Linked DNA regions of Oryctolagus cuniculus. The protein of the gene in region 2 purifies or fractionates together with the protein of the main gene of each other region. This does not show direct contact. Links are inferred from orthologs where the notes say so. Each region holds a gene or a part of one and is shown on either strand. Other genes may lie near its edges. The genes, in order: RBSN and VPS45.

Region 1 (3,437 bases), on a different chromosome or scaffold from region 2:
TAATCCCTTTGAGGAAGAGGAGGAAGAAGTCGTGGCAGGGAATCCCTTCACAAGCCCAGATTCGCCTGCGCCCAACCCCTTTGAGGAGGAGGAGGAGTCTCCCCACCTGAGGCCCTCCAGCCCGCCTGTCCCTGGCAACCCCTTTGAGGAGCCTGCCGGTCCCAACCCCTTCGAGGTGGACAGCGACAGCGGAGCCGAGGCCGAGGAGCCCATAGAGGAGGAGCTCCTGCTCCAGCAGATCGACAACATCAAGGCCTACATCTTCGATGCCAAGCAGTGCGGCCGCCTGGACGAGGTGGAGGTCCTGGCGGAGAACCTGCGCGAGCTGAAGCGCACCCTGGCCAGGCAGAAAGGCGGCCCCGACTGAGCAGCCGTGGGAGGGGCCTGGCAGCGGAAAGGCAGGTGGGATTGGTGGGATGGAGGCAGGGCAGGAGTCCAGATGCACAGTCTGCTGTCTTGTGCTGTGCACTTTGAGGCATTTCCACTACAGATGAATAATAAAATGGGATCCAGAACGGGAAGAATCAGCATTGATGTGCTGCTTTTTCCTGTTTTTTTTTTTTTTTTTTTAATTGGAGGTTTTCCCCTTTCAAAGGGACTTCATATTCTCACTACCCAGGTGAAACCGTTGGGCCCAGGGCATGTACCTCCTGGGTCCCTTTGCTGCTGCCAGGTTGGGTCATTCTGCAGTGTTAGAGAGCAGCTTTTCCTAGGCCCACCCTGAGCCGAGATGGGCAGGATGGAGTCCCTTAACTACTCTGCTCTGGCCCCGTGGAAGTCAGTCTCTTGCGGGCCATGGGTTCTGTTTCACCCAGGCCTGTGCAGCAGAGGGGAGAGGGGCTGCGGTGAGGGCAAGAGTCCAGATCCAGGAGAGCCCAGCACCTCTTTGCAGTGTCTTGCAGGATCTGTTTGCCTCTCTGTGTAAGTTCCTGTTTGTCTCTTTCAGAAAGTTAAGCTCCCAGTGCAGGGGCAGCAAGGTGGATTTGAGCATGATCTTTTCAGAAAATGGGCATGGCTAATGTTCTGGTTGATTTTAGTATTTGGGAAAAGAATTTCTATATATCATGGCTCTGATGGAAATTGTCCATCCCCAGAGAAACCTCTCTGCAGAGTTTTGGCAGAACTACTCTGCTGAGGGCCTCTTTGGAGCGGCCAGTGTGTAATGTAGGATTGGGGTCAGGAAGCCTCCCGGAGTCACAGGATAAACCACAGGCCAAAGCCGCTCCATCAGCCTTCTTCCTTCGGAATCATCCCGTCCTGACCTGGGCGCTGGTGAGATCTGTTCCTACCCACACGGACATCTGTGAAGAGGCCCAGCCCAGGATCCTGGCGCTGGCTCTGCAGTGCTTCACCTCTGCACCAGGCAAGGGGAGAAAGGGAATGGACCAACTGAGCCCTGGTGCTTCGGTTTCCAGGACCCTCATGAACCCTTCACTGACCTCTGACCTCTGACGTCATGACACCCGGGTGTGCTTGGCTCTGGGCAGGGTTTCTGCAGTTACAGTTGCTAATTAATGAACAACAGCTGACCACTCGTCACTTTATACCCTCAGCTAACTCTGGACCATCCTTAGGTTACTGATGTGAGAGTTAATTCATTTCATTCTGGAGAAGATCCTACTGAAGTGGGAGTGGGAATGGCTGAATTCTCTGGGAGTAAAAATCTGTGTCGGCGCTAGTGATATTTCTTTTGCATTTTCTGGGTCTTTTTCTTTGGAGATGTGGAAATAGGGAAGGGTGGGTGTGTGTGTGGAGGACCCATTGCCTCTGGGTTCTGTTCACAAACAAAAGGAAAATGAATAGTTATGCATGTAAGCCGCTGGCCAGCCCTTGTTGGTTGCTGCGGTGGCTTTGGGAAGCAGGGGAACAGGTAGCTAAGGCAGTGGTAGGGGTCTCCCCTCTCCCTTGAGGCCATGCCCTTCCTGCTGTTGCTCCCCGACTGGAGAGAAGGCGGCTCTGCGCCGGAAACGAGGCAGTTCCGGGAGCTGAATGCCGCTCTCCGTCATACTTTGCTGTGAGAACGCGGCTCAAGTAGCTGGTGATTTCAGCTGAGACTAATCCACTAAATGTAGCCTTTCCTGAAATCACCTGCAGGAATCATGTAAGTAATTAACAGCATCGGGGGAAACACAAGAAACCTTGGTAAAAGCTGTCTTGAAAACCCGACTTACTGACGGTAGTAAACCAAACTAAAATCCCTGTGCTCTCATTGTTTTTCCCCATGGCTGTGTTCGTATGTGAATGTGAACATGACAGGAGTTAAAATTCTCCACCCCTTGGCTGTGCCAATTCTCAGAATTCATGCAGGCACATGGTTGACAGCAGGGAAAAGCTGGCCTGTGTGTCGTAACCACAACGTCAGGTTTTACCTCATCTGACTGCACTCTTGCTTCATCTCATCGTCCATGAGCAGGTTCTTGATGTGGCGTTGGCAGACCCCCAGGCACTGACACGGTCATATATGGAAGAGACTTCGGGGACTCCGGCATCCAATGAAGTTCTTCATGCCTTTTCCCTTTCATACCTCGTCTGGATCCCCCCGCCCCGGGTCTAATACACTAAGGACACTTACTCACTGTACTCGCAGCTCAATGTATCTTTGCTGTTCAGTTCCTACAATGTACCGGAGTCATCCTGAGCCATGCGGTGTGTGGCCGTTGGCGTGCTTAGGTGATGGGACTCAGAATGAGAAGCGGGTCTGCAGCAGCTCAGACTGGAGCAGCAGGTTGTGCTGGTCACCTGACAGTGACTGTCAGTCTGAGGGTCGTTGATTTGCATGCACTACTCTGAGGCCTTGTATTGGAGCTTTTTTAAAAAAATAAAATAACACATGATACTGGTTGAGTGTGTGCGCACATGTGTTCCAAGTGACAGCATCAGAAGATAGGCCTGGTTCCTGAGTCTTGTCTGATTAAGGCCCCCAAAGTCAAGGTCCCTGGAGCAAACCAGGGATAAGTATGGGTTCCAGGTCTGTCCTTACCTCGTTACTCCAGCAGAGTGGGTCCAATGCGTGATAGAGCACAAGCATAGAGCACAAGCCCTTCATAATCCTCTTACCCCTGTCAGCCCGGAGGAAACAGGCTCGGTGACGTGGGGGACCCCGACTGCCATTTGTGCCAGGCTCAGCACTGCTGCAGGCGTGGGGGCTGGCACAGTGGCTGCCTGTGATGCCATCCCATGTGGGCACTAGTTTGAGTCTTGGCTGCTCCACTTCTGATTTAGTCCCTTGCTCATGGTCTGGGAAAAGCAGCAAAAAATGGCCCAAGTGTTTGGGTCCCTGCTACACACTGGGGAGACCAGCAGAGGCTCCTGGCTTTGGCCTGGCCCAGCTCAGGTTAAAGAAGTTATCCTGGCCTGGGTCACACAGTGGAGAATGCGTATTGAAACCCAGGTGTGTCTGATTTGCTTTGTTCTCAGTAGCTAGGAGAGTTTGTGCT
Region 2 (3,816 bases):
CCCTTTTAAAATATTTGAGTCTTAAACATCAAGATGGGATTGGCATTGTGGCTAGCGGCACAGGCATCACATATAGGGACTGGTTTGAGTTCCGGCTGCTCTACTTCCAATCCAGCTCCCACTAATGCACCTGGGGAAGCAGCAGAAGCTGGTCCAAGTGCTTGGGCCCCTGTACCCACATGGGAGATCCACAGGAAGCTCCTGGTTCCTGGCTTTGGCTTGGTCCAGCCCTGGCCATCACAGCCATCTGGAGAGTGAACCAGTAGATGGAAGATCTCTCTCTCTCTGTCTACTTCTCTCTCTGTAATTCTGCCTTCAAATAAATAAATAAATCTTTAAAAAAAAAATAAAAAGGTGGTGCTGGTCTCAAAAGAAGGAAGGCTATTGTTCAGACAAAATAAATTGCATTGTACAACATATATTTAGTAAGTTTGGAAGAGATCAAAGTGGATAAGAATAGAATTAAAGGAATGGGTGAGAATAAGGAGAGTGGGCTGATACAATGACCTATTTGGAATCAAATCCCTCATGAAATACATTGTACAGTAAAATTATTTTTTATCTGAGCATAACATTGTGTATCAGTAGGTCGGGTTTCACAGGTTTGAAGACAGAGTCAGATATTGCTGTAGCTTAGTTTTATAAGCTGTGGTCATCAACAGAAATACAAGTATGTCTGCTTGGGAGAGAATGGGGTTTCTAAAGTTCTGTTGTAACTATCCTGTTCTGAAGATAATAGGCAGACTTTTGTTGTTAGGTGAAAATTTGGAAACTAAACATTTATTCTGCATGCTGTATAATCACATTAGAACATAATATGTTAACTTTGCCTTCTTTTTTTTTTTTAAACAGGCAGAGTGGATAGTGAGAGAGAGAGAGAGAGAGACAGAGAGAAAGGTCTTCTTTTTTTGCCGTTGGTTCACCCTCCAATGGCCGCCACAGCTGGCGCGCTGTGGGCAGCGCACCGCACTGATCCGAAGGCAGGAACCAGGTGCTTCTCCTGGTATTCCGTGGGGTGCAGGGCCCAAGCACTTGGGCCATCCTCCACTGCACTCCCAGGCCACAGCAGAGAGCTGGCCTGGAAGAGGGGCAACCAGGAAAGAATCCGGCGCCCCAACCGGGACTAGAACCCGGTGTGCCGGCACCACTAGGTGGAGGATTAACCTATTGAGCCGCGGCGCTGACCTACTTTGCGTCCTTAAACACTTTAGTGTTCTTGGATATATTTATCACAAATATTTGAATAACTTCTGTCACCTTGGTGAAAACAGTGTCTTCTAAGGTGGCAAATAAACTAGTTTACAATTTTTCAGGATGATATACCAGGTAATAAATGAGTAAAAAGAATGACCTAGTTTAAATCACATTCTCCCTCATGAAATACATTCTACAGCAAAGTTAATTTTTACATAAAATTGTAAATCTTATTGCAGTGTTTAATTTTTACTAATTGATAAATATACATAGAATTCTTTGGAAATACCATGTGCCCACTTCTACAAGTTTGTTTGTTTGTTTGTTTGAAGACTTATTTGTTTATTTGAAAAGCAGTTACAGAGAAGGAAAGGAAGAGACAGAGAGAGAACAATCTTCCATCTGCTGGTTCTTTTCCCAAATGGCCACAATGGCCAGTGCTAGGCCAGAGTGAAGCCAGGAGCCTAGAATTCCATCTGGTCTTCCACTTAGGTGGCAGGGGCCCAAGCACTTGGGCCATCATCTGCTGCTTTCTCAGGTGCATTAGCAGGGAGCTGGATTGGAAGAGGAACAGCCAGGATTCTAACCGGCACTCAAGATGCCAGTGTGACAGGCATGGCTTAACCTGCTACACCACAGCACTGACCCTTGTTAATTATTAATTGAACAATTTTTGTATGTTTTTTATATTTGTATTTCATCATATTTGATTATATTGTACAGTATTGTATCATCTATGAATATATTACTGCTTGATAAAGTAGAGTTCATGAAATAACTTATCTTGTGCTTTATTTGCAGGAGTTTTATGGTGACTACATTGCTGTGAATCCACATTTGTTTTCCCTCAATATTTTGGGTTGCTGTCAGGTATGGAAAGAAAGAATTAATAGATAATTTATCAGTGGGGAGTGAATTCTGCAGGTAATTGGACTTAAAAGAGAAAATTCAAATATTTTCTCTAAATATTTATTTTCAACAAAAAGGGAAGAAATTGGGATCCAGTTCAGCTCTCCAGAACAACTCAAGGACTGACTGCTCTCCTTTTATCTCTGAAGAAGTGCCCCATGATTCGTTATCAGCTTTCATCAGAGGCTGCAAAGAGACTAGCAGAATGTGTTAAGGTATGGCCTTTCCTGTCCCTAGTTCTCTAAAATCAGTGCCATTCATTTCCCTGAAATACTTCAGAAACTAAAGGAATATTTTATCTGCAACCAAGGAGATAATAATGTGTTATTTTTATTGGGAAAGAGGTAGATATATATAAAAATAAAACGACTATACAGTAGAGATAAGATTCTTTATTTTCTATTTATTTATTTTAAAGGCAGAGTTACAGAAAGGCAATGGCAGAGAGAGAGAATGAGAGAGAGAGAGAGAGAGGTCTTCCATCCACTGGGTCACTCCCCAAATGACTGCAATGGCCAGAGCCCAGCCGATCTGAAGCCAGGAGCCAGGAGCTCCTTCCCAATGTTCTGCGTGGGTGCAGGGGCCCAAGAAGTTGAGCCATCTTCTGCTGCTTTCCCAGGCATATTAGCAGGTTGCTGGATCAGAAGCGGAGCAGCCAGACTCAAAATGGCACCCATATGGGATGCCAGCACTGAAGGCGGTAGCGCTATGCCACAGCGCCAGCCCCAAGATTCTTAGTTGTTGTTGTTGGTTTTTTTTTTTTTTTTTGAGATTTATTTATTTATTTGAAAGGCAGAGTTACAGAGATGCAGAGGCAGAGAGAGATAGAGAGAGAGAGAAGAGAGAGAGGTCTTCCGTCCGCTAGTTTACTTCCCAAATGGCCGCAACAGCTGGACCTGGGCCAATCCAAAGCCAGGAGCCTGGAGCTTCTTCCAGGTCTCCCATGCAGGTGCAGGGGCCCAAGGACTTGAGCCATCTTCTACTGCTTTCCCAGGCCATAGCAGAGAAGCAGAGAGCTGGATTGGAAGTGCAGCAGCCGGGATTCAAACCATTGCCCATATGGGATGCCAGCACTGCAAGTGGCAGCTTTACCCACTACACCCCAAGATTTCTTAGTTTTTTTGTTTGTTTGGTTGGTTGGTTGGTTTTTTTTTTTTTTTTTTACAGGTAGAGTGGACAGTGAGAGAGAGAGAGACAGAGAGAAAGGTCTTCCTTTGCCATTGGTTCACCCTCCAATGGCCGCCGCAGCCGGCACGCTGCGGCTGGCACACCGCGCTGATCCGAAGGCAGAAGCCAGGTGCTTCTCCTGGTCTCCCATGGGGTGCAGGGCCCAAGCACCTGGGGCATCCTCCACTGCACTCCCGGGCCACAGCAGAGAGCTGGCCTGGAAGAGGGGCAACCGGGACAGAATCCGGCACCCAGACCGGGACTAGAACCCGGTGTGCCAGCGCCACAAGGCAGAGGATTAGCCTATTGAGCCGCGGTGCTGGGCATTTTTTTTTTTTTACAAGGATTTCTTAGTTTTAACCCAAGACCCTTACAGTGTTTTTTGTTACAGTTAAACTGCCTGTAAACTAAGGTTTAAAATCTTAACTTCTTAAATGGAATGGTACTAAACTTTGTGAAGCTTTTGAATCCTTTTATGGAAGGCCCATGTGGGTGCAAAGAACTGTTGTTAAGTGTGGTTTTTATTTATTGATCTCTTATTTGTGT

What was found.
Region 1: the proteins of VPS45 (region 2) and RBSN purify together in Homo sapiens (affinity purification with mass spectrometry; 4 studies listed by BioGRID and IntAct, counting the BioPlex papers as one, with this or other methods). This does not show direct contact. The link is inferred for Oryctolagus cuniculus from reciprocal best matches to the Homo sapiens genes VPS45 and RBSN.

Annotation. Positions count from the first base shown.
Region 1 is NC_091441.1:113,914,889-113,918,325, reverse strand, and holds the end of RBSN (rabenosyn-5), read left to right. Parts: coding exon 1-367; 3' UTR 368-2,841; downstream 2,842-3,437. UniProt on the Homo sapiens protein: Rab4/Rab5 effector protein acting in early endocytic membrane fusion and membrane trafficking of recycling endosomes. Required for endosome fusion either homotypically or with clathrin coated vesicles.
Region 2 is NC_091438.1:47,880,671-47,884,486, reverse strand, and holds part of VPS45 (vacuolar protein sorting-associated protein 45), read left to right. Parts: intron 1-1,995; coding exon 1,996-2,064; intron 2,065-2,180; coding exon 2,181-2,318; intron 2,319-3,816. UniProt on the Homo sapiens protein: May play a role in vesicle-mediated protein trafficking from the Golgi stack through the trans-Golgi network.